3 linked regions of the Saccharomyces cerevisiae S288C genome follow. Changing the gene in region 3 together with the main gene of any one other region gives a genetic interaction. Each region holds a gene or a part of one and is shown on either strand. Other genes may lie near its edges.

The links. Genes that interact genetically often act in the same process or in processes that back each other up.
Region 1: mutations in YAP7 (region 3) and LCB5 together harm fitness more than expected from each alone (negative genetic interaction), as found in Saccharomyces cerevisiae (2 studies listed by BioGRID).
Region 2: of YAP7 (region 3) and FZF1, changing one suppresses a phenotype caused by changing the other (phenotypic suppression), as found in Saccharomyces cerevisiae (one study listed by BioGRID).

The regions. Positions count from the first base shown.
Region 1 is NC_001144.5:663,153-668,407, forward strand, and holds LCB5 (sphinganine kinase LCB5), read left to right. Parts: upstream 1-2,691; coding exon 2,692-4,755; downstream 4,756-5,255. Other genes in the region: chaperone ATPase HSP60, read right to left, coding at 132-1,850; VPS63 (Vps63p), read right to left, coding at 5,085-5,255; Rab family GTPase YPT6, read right to left, coding at 5,092-5,255. UniProt on the Saccharomyces cerevisiae protein: Catalyzes the phosphorylation of the sphingoid long chain bases dihydrosphingosine (DHS or sphinganine) and phytosphingosine (PHS) to form dihydrosphingosine 1-phosphate (DHS-1P) and phytosphingosine 1-phosphate (PHS-1P) respectively.
Region 2 is NC_001139.9:19,633-23,703, reverse strand, and holds FZF1 (Fzf1p), read right to left. Parts: upstream 1,401-4,071; coding exon 501-1,400; downstream 1-500. Other genes in the region: high-affinity Zn(2+) transporter ZRT1, read right to left, coding at 1,596-2,726. UniProt on the Saccharomyces cerevisiae protein: May function as a transcription factor.
Region 3 is NC_001147.6:267,404-275,414, forward strand, and holds YAP7 (Yap7p), read right to left. Parts: upstream 3,968-8,011; coding exon 3,230-3,967; downstream 1-3,229. Other genes in the region: SIL1 (Sil1p), read right to left, coding at 1-126; GAS5 (1,3-beta-glucanosyltransferase), read left to right, coding at 784-2,238; YOL029C (uncharacterized protein), read right to left, coding at 2,412-3,017; ribosome-binding protein MDM38, read right to left, coding at 4,600-6,321; MIM1 (Mim1p), read right to left, coding at 6,609-6,950; LAG2 (Lag2p), read left to right, coding at 7,554-8,011. UniProt on the Saccharomyces cerevisiae protein: Probable transcription activator linked to cell cycle that induces transcription activation of genes in the environmental stress response and metabolism control pathways, like the closely related YAP5.

The DNA.
Region 1 (5,255 bases), on a different chromosome or scaffold from region 3:
TAGTCATATATAGTTCTTTATACTTGAAAAAGTGATTCCTAAAAATCTCAACTTTTTTCACATTGTATTTACAAGATAATAAAATTATTACCATATTTAAACGAAAGATAAATTTTGAATTAAGGCGGTCGTTACATCATACCTGGCATTCCTGGCATACCACCTGGCATACCACCAGCGCCAGCAGCTGCTGGTGGTTCTGGGGCATCAACAATAGCAACTTCGGTAGTAGCTAATAGTGAGGCAACACCAGAAGCATCAACTAAACCGGATCTAACCACTTTAAATGGATCGATGATACCAGTGGCTAACATGTCGGTGTATTCTGACTTAGAGGCATCGTAACCCTTGGCAAAATCATCACCATATTCATCAATCAATTTGCCGATGATAACTGAACCTTCTTCACCAGCGTTTTCAATGATCTGCTTGGCTGGTCTTGTAATGGCCTTTCTTATGATATCGACACCCAATTTTTGATCGAAATTGTCGACAACAACTTCATCCAAAACTCTAGATGCCTTCACTAAGGCAGTACCACCACCTGGCAAGATACCTTCCTCAACTGCAGCTCTGGTAGCGTTCAAAGCATCATCGTAACGGTCCTTCTTTTCACCAACTTCAACTTCAGATGCACCACCGACCCTGATGACAGCAACACCCCCGGACAATTTGGCCAAACGCTCTTGCAGTTTCTCCTTCTCATATGAATTTGTGGTGGTAATGTCGATGGAGCCTTTGATTTGTTCAATTCTCTCTTGAATAGCTTCCTTTGGACCACTACCGTTCAGGATAACGGTGTCTTCCTTAGTAACGGTAATAGAGTCACAAGAACCCAAGTTTTCTATGGTACATTGTTCTGGTTTCAAATCCAACTCCTCAGTAAAAACAGTACCGCCCGTCAAGACTGCAATATCACCAATTGTATTCTTTCTATTATCACCGAAACCAGGCGCCTTCACAGCACAAACCTTAACTTGACCCCTCAACTTGTTCAAAATACAAGCCGCAAGAGCTTCACCGTCAACATCTTCAGCAATGATCAACAAAGGTCTTCTGCTTTGATTGGAAATTTCCAAAGCTGGCAAGATATCTTGAATGGAAGAAATTTTCTTTTCACTCAACAATAGCAATGGCTTTTCAAATTCCACCTTGCTCGACTTTGGATCAGTGATGAAGTATGGAGAAATAAAACCACGATCAAACCTCATACCTTCAGTAACCTCAAGTTCATCTTCCAATGTTCTACCTTCTCTGATAGTGATGACACCTTCTTTTCCAACCTTTTCCATAGCTGAAGCTAGTAACTTACCAACATGAGAGTCCCCATTGGCAGAAATGGTTGCTACTTGAGCAATTTCCTCAGATGTGGTAATTTCTTTCTTGTTGGCGCTCAAAAATTCAATCACTTTTTCAACTGCAACTTGAGAACCCCTTCTCAAATCCATAGGGTTACAACCAGCGGCGACATTTTTGACGGATTCTGTGAAGATGGCTCTACCTAAGACAGTAGCAGAAGTAGTACCGTCACCAGCAGCCTCATTGGTTTTGGAGGCAACTTCTTGTAGTAACTTGGCACCCATATTTTCAAACTTGTCCTTCAACACAATAGATTTGGCAACTGTAACACCATCCTTAGTAATCTTTGGAGGACCGAAAGGCTGTTCGATTAAAACGTTTCTACCCTTTGGACCCAAAGTAGCAGCAACCGCTTCAGCTAAAGTTTCGACACCCTTAAGAAGGGAGGCTCTTCCTTCTACACCGAATTTCAATTCTTTATGAGAGGAGTAAGCACGACGCAATAAAGGCCTTAAAGTAGCGCGACTACGAACAACGGATGATCTCAACATTTTGAAAACTTTTTTGCTTATGATGTTTTCTCGTGGGAATTTTCTTATATTATTCAAGGAAGTGCATGAAGACGCAACCACGACCTTACATAATGAATGTAAAACTTAGTCTCCTTCAATATATATACATGAATGTCCGTCTGGATTCTGCTCCGGGCAAAACGAAGCAAAATTAAAGTCACCCTCCCCATTTGGTTTTCTGGAAAATTCCACGAGGTCCGTATATGATGACATATACAGATGGGCGGCTATAAAGTAAGTTTCCAGAGGTAATACCAGGCAATAAACAGCTTCAATTGCTCGTAACACCATTGTATACCTACAAAAACAGTGGAATAGGGATGAGACATAACTGGCTGGAATTTCAACTGTACTTCTTTGCACAACTAGTCTTGGCGTTCTACTTGATCATTGCGCGAATGGATGCACTCGCAATAATTCCCAATAGTATAACAGGAGGAACATTTGGATGCATTAGGTATATTATTCATCTTCTTTATCATCAAAATTTTCTCTTCCTTTATGTTACTATGTTGCTTTCTTTTAATCTATGTTTTTTTCCCTTTCAGTTGCCACCGCTTTTCTGCAAGATTCATAGTTAGATTTGCAAATCAAGGTGTTTTCGGGCCTTGTTAAAGCCTTCGCAGGCGAAGAAGAAAGGGAACGTAAGCTGCGTGAGCCGAATCTATTTATACAAAAACAATCAAAAAAGTATAACTACAGCATAAACTGTTGTATATACGTGTTGCAAAATAGGAAAGAAAAGAAGAGTAAAAGGACTCTTGATATTATCTCGAAAAAACCACAAATAGTGTAAGATTTAAACAGTAAGCCAAAAGAGATGACTTTGAAACCTTCAAAGAGACGTAAGGGCAGGTCTCGCCATTCCAGGAAGAAGCAAATAACGTCAGCGATACTGACTGAGGAAGGAATAATGATCAAGGCAAAACCATCAAGTCCTTACACATACGCAAATAGAATGGCAGATAAACGAAGTCGCAGCAGCATTGACAACATCAGTAGAACTAGCTTTCAAAGCAACATCAGTAGAACTAGCTTTCAAAGCAACAGTGATAACAACAGTATATTTGAAACGGCTTCACTAATTAGCTGTGTTACCTGTTTAAGCGATACTGATACAATAGACAGATCGGAAACATCGACAACGGATACAAGTAAAGATGATCTTTCTGCTAATCCAAAACTTCATTATCCTTCGGTGAATGGTCAATTGCCAGCAAACACCGTTATCCCCTATGGACGAATTCTGGATGCCAGATACATTGAAAAGGAACCTCTGCATTATTATGATGCCAATTCATCACCCAGTTCACCTTTAAGCAGCTCAATGAGTAACATTAGTGAAAAGTGTGATCTTGATGAATTAGAGTCTTCCCAAAAAAAAGAAAGGAAGGGCAACTCGCTATCGCGAGGAAGTAACAGTAGTAGTAGCCTCCTGACTTCCAGATCTCCTTTTACGAAACTAGTAGAGGTTATATTTGCTAGGCCAAGACGGCATGACGTTGTACCCAAAAGGGTTTCATTGTATATTGACTATAAACCCCATTCATCTTCTCACTTAAAAGAAGAAGATGACTTGGTTGAGGAGATTTTAAAGAGAAGCTACAAAAACACTAGAAGGAACAAATCCATATTTGTGATCATTAATCCGTTTGGTGGTAAAGGTAAGGCGAAAAAACTGTTTATGACAAAGGCAAAGCCGTTACTATTAGCAAGTCGGTGTTCCATAGAAGTGGTTTATACAAAATACCCTGGTCATGCTATAGAGATCGCGCGGGAAATGGATATTGACAAATATGACACTATTGCTTGCGCTTCGGGAGATGGCATTCCTCATGAGGTGATCAATGGGTTATACCAAAGGCCTGATCATGTCAAAGCATTCAACAATATCGCCATTACAGAAATTCCATGCGGATCAGGTAACGCAATGAGCGTATCCTGCCACTGGACAAACAATCCTTCGTACTCAACTTTATGCTTAATTAAATCGATAGAGACTAGAATTGATTTGATGTGTTGTTCGCAGCCTTCTTATGCAAGAGAGCACCCAAAGTTATCATTTTTAAGTCAAACATATGGTCTCATTGCAGAAACTGACATAAACACTGAATTTATTAGATGGATGGGACCTGCAAGGTTTGAATTGGGTGTAGCCTTCAATATCATACAAAAAAAAAAATATCCTTGTGAGATATATGTAAAGTATGCTGCCAAATCAAAAAACGAGTTAAAAAATCATTACCTGGAACACAAAAATAAAGGGTCGTTAGAATTCCAGCATATTACTATGAACAAAGATAACGAGGATTGTGATAATTACAATTACGAAAATGAATACGAAACCGAAAACGAAGATGAAGATGAAGATGCGGATGCGGATGACGAAGACTCCCACTTGATATCTCGTGATCTGGCAGATTCTAGTGCTGATCAAATTAAAGAGGAAGATTTCAAAATAAAATATCCATTAGATGAAGGTATCCCTAGTGACTGGGAAAGATTGGATCCTAATATTTCGAACAACCTAGGTATCTTCTATACGGGTAAAATGCCATATGTGGCTGCTGACACTAAATTCTTTCCGGCAGCGCTTCCTTCAGATGGTACAATGGATATGGTTATCACCGATGCAAGAACCTCGTTGACGAGGATGGCACCAATCCTGCTGGGACTAGATAAGGGTTCCCATGTTTTACAACCGGAAGTCTTACACTCTAAAATTTTGGCATACAAGATAATACCAAAGCTAGGGAACGGCTTGTTCTCTGTCGATGGCGAGAAATTTCCTCTAGAGCCCCTTCAAGTCGAAATTATGCCACGCTTATGCAAGACGTTACTGAGAAATGGCCGTTATGTGGACACAGATTTCGATTCTATGTGACACTTTACTTAATCTTTTCCTTCGTACTGAACAATTAATCAAAAACTAGAATATGTCATTTCTATTTCTTCTATATTTTTTTTACGTTGTTGTTGTTTTTGTTGTTGTTTGATAACTTTATACACTCCATACTTCTTTATAAAAAGTTTTAATACCATTCTTTAATACAACCATGTTTAGTGAGTACTAGCTCCTACACATCAGATCGTCAAGTACATTATGATTATGATTATTATTAATATTATCAGTACAATTATTATGTGCTGGTAGTTCACTAAAAAATATGACGCACACAAAGAGTTCTCCTTATGCCCTATAGAACTGAAATATTAGGTGCTAACACTGACAAGCGCTTTGTTCCTGCTCCTCTGCTGTAGAAATATCAATGACTCCCGGTTTATTTTGGTTTGCACTATTTGCATTTTCGCTATCCAAAGGAGTTGACTCGCTGTTTTGAAATTCAGGCAGCGATTTGGCAATCTTTTTGAATAAAGCTTTGA
Region 2 (4,071 bases), on a different chromosome or scaffold from region 3:
GCAGGAGGTAATTTCGTGGATCTCGCAATCAAAGGTGTTTCGTGGTCGTCGTCGTCGTCGTGGAAAATTTTTCAGAAAGAAAAGAACGATTACCTAAACTGTCTTTTTCTTTTACAACATGATGTCCCTGAAACAGAGAAAGTACCGTACGAATGTCGATCGACCGGAAAAACTGCCCGCGAGAAAAAGAAATCTCTTTTCTTCGATTTTTTTGTGCCGTCCGGTTTATTGCCCGGTGCCGTCCGGCATGATAGCCATTTCTAGGTACCAATGTGCGAGGAGGTTCAGAAAACTCGTAGTAACATGATGGAAAAGGCATTAGAAAGAGCAGTATACTCTGGGGTCACCAATGTGGAGCTCTGGAGCCCCGCACTTTTTTTCAAGAATAATAGGATGTATACGTAATACGTAATAGGTATCACGCTATTTACTCTTGCCTTTTCTTTGTTTCATAGTTCGAATCACATGAGTAGAGGACGGAAATTGCTCTTCTATGGCGTTCAGTATTCGAATAAATCCCAGACGCTAGGCTTATATAAATGAATGTAGCTGTACTTTACCAGCGTCTCAGGAATGAAGGCGTGCGTGTGGTCATAGTGGTCAATGAGATCAAATACAGATGCGAATGGACTAAGCTCTTGACAATCACTATGTTTGCACCGGTTATCCGACCAGTAACTCTCTGGATCAGTTGGGGTTTGTGCCGTAGTGCTATCAACGCTTTCACTACTGCTTGTCCCAGTAGTGCTAAATGAAAGTTGTGGAATGGATGTAGTGTCGGTGCTGCTGGATTTCTCAGAGGTTGGAAGCGATTCCTTCAGAGATGGATCTCCAGATGGTACAACAAGCTTACTTGCTATATGATGTTGCAACATATGATTTATTAGATCGTCATTGAAGCTGGTAACTTTTTGACATGATTTGTATGGGCATTGTAGCACTTGCATGTCATCATATCCAGGCAAATGACCTTGCGAGAATTCTTCACCACACATTGGAGAGCCGGAAGGTAATTTTGGGTCAAAACCTCCCTCCTTGCCATTGAGTTCTGCTTTCACATTCGCATTCACTCCTTCGTGTTTACGGTCAATTCTTGATGCAAGCTTGCTTTTTCTTTCATGACTATTTAAATGCCTTCTTAATTGCTGATTTGTGACAAATCTTTTTTGACATAATGTGCACGCTTTGGGCTTGATTTGTGAATGAGTCCATTTGTGAACTCGTAGATGGCACGGTCTTATAAATTTTTTGCCACATCCCGGCTCATCACAATGATACGGCTTTTGATTGGTATGCGAATTTTGGTGTTGCTGAAGCAAACTAGGTCTGTTGTAGACTTTCTCACAACCGTCAAAAGAACATTTGTAATTTCTAGACTTGGTTCTCCCTATATCCGTCATTGTTTTGGTGGCCACGTATTCTGGTACCACTTGTGCACACCAGCGTAAAAGTTGTCATTTTCATCTTCTTTAGCGTATTTATTGTCCGAGACTGTTAAAGAAAAATTATTACTGTTTTTTTGCTATTACTAAAGAATAAATAACTATAAAATATGAAATAGAATCTATATGGAACATGCAGAATTTCGCTTTGGTTTAAGCCCACTTACCGATCAAAGCCATGATACCAGCACCGAAAAGAGTGCATATAACGTTGAAGGACAATTCTCTTAGATCCTTTGTTCTTTGAGGATTGAATATAAAGTCTCTTGCTAGTAGTTCAACCAAACCAGTGTACAATAAGATACCAGCAGAAATGGCATCCAAAACACCAGAGATAACAAGCGCAGTGTAAGAACCGCTGACGTATCTGGTACGAACACCCAAACCGATGGCCACACAGATTGGTGTGGTTAACCCATACGCAACACATAGGGCCCATGGCCACCATCTCTTTGATCTAGGGAATTCAATGGCTGACAATCTTGCACCAATACCTAAACCTTCAAATGATTGATGGAACACTAAGACAGGGTATAGGGAGGAGAACTCATCACCAACACTTCCCAGGTTTAGACCGATCATAACGGAGTGGAAAATCACACCGAATTCTAAAATTAAAAAGGCATAAAATTGTGCTTGAAATGATTGAACAACATCCATGGATGTAGCGTCTGAATCTTCATAATACTCTACTCCGTTCTTGGTGTCATGAGATCCATTTGCAGTACCATTCTCATTGTCATTCTCACTTGAAACAGCTGCAGTGTTTCTCACAACAGTGTCTTTAATTTCATCGTGGGTATGGTCATGGGAAAGACCATACTTTCTTTCAACCCAGACGCTACTGAATAGATCAGTAAGGAAAGTGAAGGTCAAACTCGTTAGCATAATGGCAGGACACCATGAATAAAGACCCCAGTTACCGGTTTGTCCTACACAAGTGGTACCACCAATCGCACCATAAGCAGGGTCCATTAAGTGGATAAATGCGGTTGCAACAATAACACCGGAACCAAAATACTTTGCGAAAAGGTAAACATATAGAGGAATTCTCAATCTTTTCACTTTTGTTGAGATTAATGGGAACATGGTGAAAAAAGTACTCACGAAAAGAATAACAAAGACGGAAGATATTCTGGCACCTAAGTTACCATTGTACTCGTTTCCACCAAAGTAAACACCTTGCAAAACACAGGTCTTCCACACATCATCAGGGGTTTTATCGGCAAGTGTAACTTCAGAAGGGTCCCATTGTTTCCACCACGGCGTAGTAACGTTGCTCATAATTCCTTTTTTGATATTTGTGCTGTTGTTTTATTGTCTATACTTGCAGTTTTTTTGTAAATAGGGAAGAGATGAGATCATGACAGCCGATACCAGGCCTCTATTTATAACTAAGTCATCGAGCTAATGCCGTGCGTAATTTCTTTTTTTCTTAATTTCGTTCTACACATTTGCTCTCAACCTACTTTCCATGACCTTCAAGGTCAAATATGTTCATCTGTCTCATCTCATTGGAGAGAAGATACCTGAGCACATCTGATAATTTTGGGAAATGTCATTGTAATTTGAAGAATACCGCACAGATGAGAACCTTGAGGGTATCTTTGGTCCTTCGAGGTTTTTACAGGCAAGAGAGTACGGGTGTATTGTTTTTTAAGCAGCAACTATATTTTTTTTTAGTTATCTGGCGCGCGCGCCTTAGCTGAAGAAAACTGACGGTAACGGTACCCCAAAGGTCACAATAAGTACTTGCGCCATGTTCTAGTGCATTTGACTAATTTGCCGTAGCGTGGATCTGCATTGTCCAAAGGGTAGGAGTCACATCAGGTGTTTGTTGCGCCCAGTTTGGAAACATTTGTCCCATAGAGTGATGAATGTGAGCTCATGTCGCCGTAATCGCCGTGTAATTTACCGCAGGAATTGGCCATAATCAGACATTAGTGTCAATTTGTCCTTTCATATTAGGAAAGTCTGAAATACTCTTGCCTTCTAGAAAATTTTCATAGAAGCTTGGCAATTGCTTCTCTCAAATGCTGTTATTTCCACCCTAATGAAAGAAGCATATCAGATTCAGAGATCTTGTTAAATCCAATTTTATGTCATAATGTCGATAATTGACGTAATTTCCATTTCGTACTATGTAAAATAATGCTTATTTGGCACTTTGGTGTTTGGCAGAATACCATTTCTTTTTATTAGGGACAAAAAAAGAAATATCTGACCTGAAAGTATTTTTTTTTTTATTATAGATTTTCTCTCCAGGTACATCTATCTCAAGTCTAACCGGGATTTGACGTCTAATAGATTTTAAAATACCAATTGAAGATTGGTGCCGCTTGTTTTCCTTCTTAAAACAAGCGTATTCTTTCTAAGGCTCTCCTCCCACAAAATAATCTTTAAAGTATCGATTATCAAGGTGGACACAAAGGATATAATGTGGAGCAGTGAAACATCTGCAATCCGGGAATCGGAGAGCATTTAGAAAAATTGTGAAGAAACAGCAAGTTTTAGGCCAAATAATTTTTCTTCTTGAAGCATCAAGTTATCCGTGGCATACTTTGAATGGAAACTGAATTAACTGCTGTGATACAGAACAAAAATAAAGAGGATGGCAGGGAGAGGAAAT
Region 3 (8,011 bases):
TTTAAGATCTTCTGCAGATATGATTTCGCCTCCAGATGGCACTGAGTGTATGGATGAATGCAATATTGTACTCGCCACTAATTTCGAAGATAGGGCGCTCAAAATTATGGGAAGAATCCGGACCATTCTAAGTTTGCGTTCTTGGAAGTGATATTCAATATCGAGAACTTCCAGCGATGCGAAAACTAGTCTATTATAGTTGCTAATGTGTGCTCTATCATTTACGTGGCCTTTTCACATAGTCTGGTCTTTCTTAATTATCACAATTCCGTTACCCGAAATCTAATCTCGTGTTTAGCTTCGATCTGCGGACGTTACTTCTAACGTCCAGAACACTTCACCCGCTATTTACGTTTTGATCTAGTTGCGGCCTCCAAACCTGCAGATGAATCGTTCATTACATTCTTGCTGCCACTAGTTGGCCGCTGCGTATACAACAAGAAATATACTATGCATTTATGTAACGCGCTTTAGTCAGTAGCCTCAGTAATGCCTTTTCTAAGGTCAGTATGTCAATATCTCTCGGGTGAACCCCAACATTGTTGTTCTTTCTTCGTTGTTTCTCTCTCTTATCATCTTCTGTGTCTTTGCTTTCTTTTGTTCACAATTTCTCGAGAAAAAAAACTCCGCAGGAAATTTTTCACTTTTATTTTGCTTATACTATAAATAGGAAGGTCCCTGAACTGATTTGTTGACAGTGTTGCATTTCGTATATAAAAGTAAACAGTGGGCTGTAACAAACATATTATATATCACTCGCTACACACACAGCTCTAAATAGCTATGTTACTACGTTCTCTTACAAGTGCCTTCGTTTTAAGTGCTGGTTTGGCTCAGGCTGCTAGCAGCAGTAACAGTTCCACACCATCCATTGAAATTAAAGGCAATGCATTTTTTAATTCGGAATCAGGTGAAAGGTTTTATATCCGTGGTGTTGATTACCAGCCTGGTGGTTCTTCTAACTTGACTGATCCCTTAGCAGACGCATCTGTCTGTGACAGAGACGTCCCCGTTCTGAAAGATCTAGGGATAAATACTGTCAGAGTTTATACTGTGGATAACTCGCAAGATCATTCCCATTGTATGAAACTATTGCAGGAGAACGGTATATACTTGATCCTGGATGTCAATACCCCCACGAGTGCTATTTCTCGTTACGATCCAGCCTGCTCCTATAACGCTGACTACTTACAAAATGTCTTTGCCACCATTGATACCTTTGCTGATTACGACAATGTTCTAGGTTTTTTCGCTGGTAACGAGGTCATCAATAGTGTTAATACTACCAACACTGCTACTTATGTCAAGGCAGTGGTCAGGGACATGAAGAAATACATCAAGGCTAGAAAATACAGACAAATTCCGGTAGGTTACTCGGCTGCTGATATCGTCGCTAACAGACAATTGGCTGCTGAATACTTTAACTGTGGTGATGAAGCTGACGCTAGAATCGACATGTTTGGTGTTAATGACTATTCTTGGTGTGGTGAATCTTCATTTGTGGTATCGGGTTATTCCACCAAGATGAAGCTATATCAAGATTACTCCGTTCCTGTCTTCTTAAGTGAATTTGGTTGTAACCAAGTCAAGAGCTCTCGTCCATTCACAGAAATTGAAGCTATCTATTCCACTCAAATGTCTTCTGTATTCTCCGGTGGGCTAGTCTACGAATATTCCAATGAAACTAACAATTACGGGCTCGTTCAAATTGATGGTGACAAGGTCACTAAATTGACAGATTTTGAAAACTTGAAAAATGAATACAGCAAAGTATCCAACCCAGAAGGCAATGGTGGTTACAGTACTTCCAACAACTATTCTACATGTCCTGATTATGAAAAGGGTGTCTGGGAAGCTAATAACACTTTGCCTGCTATGCCAAGTGCTGCTTCTGCTTACTTCACATCTGGAGCAGGTTCTCCTATGGGAACCGGAATCGCCACCCAACAAAGTTGTGATGCTAAGGACGATGACGACGAAGAAGACGACGACACCTCCTCTTCATCCTCTTCTTCCTCTTCATCTTCATCTTCCGCTTCTTCATCTTCTGAATCATCATCCTCGACTTCAAAGGCATCTTCCTCCTCCCCTTCTGCTAGCGAAACGAGCTTGCTAAAATCTGCCGCATCTGCTACTTCGTCCAGCCAATCGTCCTCGAAATCAAAGGGTGCTGCCGGAATTATTGAGATTCCTTTGATATTCCGTGCTTTGGCAGAACTTTATAACTTGGTTTTATGAGTTTTCACCCCCGTTCTTTACCACATTGTTTCTAATTATTCCGTTAGCGCCGCTTACTTTTAATGTTCTTAAGATAAAAAAACATCATTAATATTATTATTAAAAAATTCATATATATACCTATATCTATATGCACTATTTATGCTTCCACTTTTCTTTTCTTTCTAAATACATCATTCCAAGACGTTTTTGTCCATCTTATGTAATGCATCCTTGATGCTTTGCAATTCTACTTTCTGTCCACGAACGTGCAATCCAGATGCAATGTTCTCTAACGCTGATGAGATCGAAGTTGAATCCTCAGGATTTAGTTGTTCTTGGATACTTTTATTTTTTTGCATATGTTGACGGATTTTTTGATATGTGTAACTGATCGGCAGATACCTCTTTGCATCGGAAGCCGCATTCATTTGTGCATTCTTGCAGGAACATATTTCGGGTAGCTTGATTGAATTGTAATTTACGTCAGTTTGTTGTTCATTTAGATCCGGTGACAACGCACTGTTGGAAGAGAAAGAGCTTGAACTACATTTATTCGAAAGTGATTGACAAAAATTCCTACTATGGGGGTCTGATCTACATTGCTTGCAGCTTCCAGGTATCCATGACCCATCCTCTTTAGTGATCGGTCTATTCTCGCTATCGTAGATTTCTTTGTCTCCACAGCATTTCGATATTGATTTCTTAGCATCGGATTCTATTTTCTTTTCTGAACAGCAAACGGGGACTAAGGATGGCATTATGTTATTCTTTTGGTTGCAACATGTTACTGGTTTCATGGCATCTTTATTCCTACAACATTTTATTTTTTTGTTGCCACTGCCTGCACATGCATTGATACTGCTGCTGCATGAAGACAGAGGTGAATTAATATGGCCATCAAGCGATGAATTCGTTGAACTAAACTGTCTGCCGCTCAGATATTGATAATCGTTGGCTATATCAATCTCAGACAAAGACTGGTCTGTTAATACCGCGGGCACATGAGATGTTAACAATGGGCCTTCAGCTTTCCTTTTTTTAAACTGACAGCGCCGATTGGTTTAAAGTTTTCTACCATTTCTAATATCGAAATAGGATTGTCTGGCGGGTTTTCTGGCTGCTGTTGAAATGGAGTATTAACAATCAAAGGCAAGGCTTTTTGCAATTCGTTGTTTAATGCTATTGATTTTTGCAAGTTTTCCTTTGTATCGGAAAACTCAGATTCCAGCAGTTTATATTTCCTTTGCCAATCATCGACCAAATTGTGTAGCATCTCAACCTTCTCTTCCAGAACCTGGATTCTTGTTGTTCTGCGTTCCCTATATGCTCTTTGCGCATCTCTATTTTGCCTCCTTCGCTTTTCCACGCTATCGACACCGTTTTCATCACCACTTCCGTTGCCTTCATCATCAGATTTCCCCTCATGACCTTTTGCGCCTTCGTTCTCATGATCTTTTGTGGTCATTTGGTCTTTCTGGTTGGAAGTTTGAACCTTCTTTATCTTGGACGATCCATCATTATTAGCTGATGCATCCCCGCGCTTGGATTTCGGTTTGCGGCCCGGTTTTAGGCGCTGTGGTAACTCCCAATTCTTGGATAACTTAATAGCTGACGGTCCTGATGTACTCACATTTCCATCTGGTGAGGATGGAGGTGGAGACGTCGTAGACATGGAACCCTGTTTATGCCCCAATTTGAAGCCTTTGGGCTTTACGCTAACTGCTACTACAGACCTTCGTTGTCTCATGATCCATTGAAAGTGTGCGTAAATGACAAAATTTTGTGCCTTTCTATATTCTTTAATTGATGATTTACTTCCTTGATAACGGCTCAACAAACGAAGAGCAATTTTCAAATTTCAAAAGAAAAAACCGTTGAAACTGTTCTTGAGCAACTTTCAAGCCTCTTATGATGATGTGCTACAGATTGAAGTACAGGTGAAAAGAGGAATAACCAATAGCCTTGTTTGCTTTCTACGGTGGGGCAGCGGATTTTCTCTTTTATGCTTATGCTTCTTCTTCCATATATTACTAATTTTTCTCGAGCGAGCAGCTTTACTGCGTGCATTACCGATGAAAAAAATCGCCGATATATGAAAATCCAGCTCATAAGATGCTGATTAAGGAGTCATGAGTGAAAGGACCCTCGTGGCCATCACAAAAAAGACACTTTGCTCCTGTATAAAAAAAAAAATAAGGCGGTAGTTTAGATAGGGTGTCTATTATATACATGCATAATAATTTAGTTTTGAAGGGTCGCTGGTTTTGCCGTGACGTACGCTTCTCTTTGATCTTTTGCCATTGTTGTCAGAGAAAAGAGAACCGATTGACTTTTTTTTTTTAGTTTTTTTTAGTTTTTTTCTTAGGCTTTGATCTAATATCAATCTTTCTTAATGACAAAAGTCTTCGCAGCTTGATCGGCCGGAATGGGAGGTACAGATTTTGCTTCTTCCTCTTCATCTAGGTTGATATCATCTGGCACATGCTCTCTCGAAGCTCTTTGCTTAGCTTCCTCTTCCTCCTTCTTTATTAGTTCTTCTTGCTCCTTCAAAACGTTCAATTTGAACTCGTTATCGTCGGATGTCTTCTTTTCTTCAGCTTCCGTGGCTTCCGCAGAGTCGGTAGGCTCTGCGTTCTCTTTTTCCTGAGATATTTCCTCTGTCTTCGCTGTTTCTGCCTTTTCATTAACTACGACTAGTTTAGGAGTAACCGCAGAAGCGGTGGTAGCTATAACAGACTCTTTTGCGGTGGCTTCTTCCTTCGGTATAGCAGTTTCCTCGGGTTTTTCTTCCGTCTTTATCTTCTTTTCAGCAACTTGCTTTTCAGCTTCAGTTTCAGCAGCGGATGATTTCGATTCAGATACATCTAGTTTTGCGACGTTGTAAACGGGATCTGGAATGGAACTTAGCACTTGTAATATACCGTCGTAGTACAGATCCAAAAGGTCGTCATATTTGCTTTTTGTTTCTTTTTTTTCAGCTAGTGGCGAGAATGCCTTTGAATAGTTCTCCTTTGGAAGTCCTCCAAACGTGAACGTGGAACTCAAAACCATCAAGACGGATGGGATTTTTTGTCTCAGTCTCAATTCTAGCCAAACTTTTAGATTATCGACCAAGTCCTCCTTGGATACACCGTACGCTTTCATACCACGAGACACACAAGCTTGATACAGCTCTTCTTGCGATAAACTTTCAACGCCTTCGTAGTCAATAGTTTTATCGTCGTTCATTATATCCTTTAGTTTGGAACGAATTTGGTAACGAAGCATGTTATCGTTACCAAATGGCCTTAGTGACATAAACTTCGACATTGCTGCCAATTGTGGTCTTGACAAGTTATCCAAAACGCTATCGTTTTTGAACATTTGCGCAATGGCGCTTATTTCATCGTGTTGGAAAGTCATAATCTTACCTTCCTTGGCAGAATAAAGCTTCCGGAAAAAATTCAAAAATTTTTGCTTCTTCTCTGCATTTTCAATGGTGTTGTAAGTGATCAAATTGGATTCTTCCAAAGTCTCATGCAAGAATTCGGATGTCTTTTTTCTGATCTCGATGAGCTTATTTCTCTTGGCTTGCTTATCCTTGCCGGATTCGTAAGTGGAGGGTAGTAAGTTGGGGAAGAGTTTCAAAGCGAAAGGCAAAAATAGTTCGGCGAATGGAATAATAAGGAACGCTGAAAAAGGGATCAACCTAAACACATCGCCCATTGTCCTCCTCAATTGGTTCCTCTCTCTTCTAGACAACTCGTAACCCTGAGCAAATTTAATCAAAAGCTTAGTAGAAACTTTGATTTCGTAACCCAAAAGTTTCGTCCCATTAGCATAATGTTTCAAGGCGTGCTTCACTTTGACCATAAGCGTCTCCTTGGGCTTGGCAGGAGCATCGGTGGATGTTGGAGCTACGGGCTTCGTAACACTTTTCGACTTATCAGTAGAATAAAATCTCAAAGATAAAGGATAGTTGGGCTGTACTCCTTGCGCTCTCAAAGGCCAATGACACGAGGGAATAGTGGAAGCTATTAATCTAGGGCCTTGATTTTTAACAAAATACAAGCTTGCTTGACGTCTTGTCACACATGACGCTCTTGATGCGAAATTCAACATCTTAGTATATTATCTGTAGTGATAGAGATAGCGTATATTATGCGCTGCCTGAAATGCACTGCGCTGTTCATATTCATCACCGTGGCAATGACTGATCCATTTATTTGGAGATGATTCAACGAATAATTTTTCACCGCGGGATTATCGCCCAAGACGGGGTCGTTTGAGGGTAATACCGTGGCTAGCTTTATGGCTTGTGAAACTATTGCCAGTTATGTGGTTACGTATAATCTACCGTATGTGTGTGTGTATTTATTTATGTAGGTTGCTAATGCTTTGGTGATCGTTTAAAGGAACTTGGACGCAACCCTCCCACGGGTGCCAGGGCTTGAAATCTCTTTCAATGCTGCTATTTTGCGCGACTCTGGGTACACCTTATACCCCTTGTTTCTATGGTTAAACCAATTGAATCTCCAGCAGAGCTCGTGAGCAAATAGCTCGCCGAAGCCGAGCATCATGCCGTTGAGGAAGGGCAAAAGTAGGTTGATGGAGCACGAGCCTACAAAGGATACAAGGCTCTGCACAAGTGGGCTCTCGTCGGCACTCACTGTGTTCTGCACCTCCATACAGTCTTTGTCTTCTGATTCGTCATCTGACACGCTCTCCCAGAATCCCACAACCTCTGTCATATTTCTGTCTTGTGGCAGTTTCGTAAGAAGGGGGGTGATGTTTCTAATATTACAGTGATGTTCTATTGTTCAAGTAAAGTGTATGGCTGTTTCTTATGGCGCGGAATATACCACTTCGTTATAAGTGATTACATCTCGTAACGCATTCCTCTTGTTCAGTGGTAGGGGAGGCCGATGGTAGTGGAATAATACGCTTTTATGGGCCATTGGTATTACTATTTATCTTCGTTATAATAAATAGTACACGTTGCAGACATATTTGGAGGAGAGTTTTTAAAGTACTGTTGGGGTGCTCTTGCTGTGCATTGTAAGTAATCGTGTCCCAGTGGCCGAGTGGTTAAGGCGATGCCCTGCTATTTCCTCAGAAAAGCAATTAGGCATTGGGTTTTACCTGCGCAGGTTCGAATCCTGTCTGTGACGCATTTCTTTTTTGTGAATTCTTGCTTCTTATCCTTCTACAATCCTTTCGTGACATTTATTGAATCATCTCTACAAAATTTTTACACATAGCTAAGGTTAGCTTGTTCTACATTACACAAGTGGTAGCAAAATCGTTTACATTGCACTCAGCTATATCAACATCACGTTCTACCGCAACTAGTAATGAGCTTGCACATTAGTAAACTGATTGAGCAATATCGTTCCACTAAGGACAATGACCTTAAATATATGCTTTTAAGGCAAAACTTTAAAATTAACGACATAGAGGATGAGCTGGCTCCTCTTGTTAACGAATTGCTGCTCCCGGTATTGGTCGAAGAACAAGACATGGAAATTCTCAACCTAGTATCGTTTCAAGTGCTCCCCGATTTAGTTCTTTCTATGATCAGCGACCCTGCAGCTGCTCAGTTGGGATGGGTAATAAGCTTGATATGCGACCCTTTATTAAACCAAAGCATGATACATGCAAATCGTTCTTTTGTTCTGATTGAGACACTAAGAAATGTGTTACAAAAAATTGAAAACTCCCCTCATTTAGATTACCACCAACCAGTAAACAGTTCATTAGAGTTTATCTCCAAATTTATTGTTGAAATGAAAAGGCATATGTGTGATGTGGA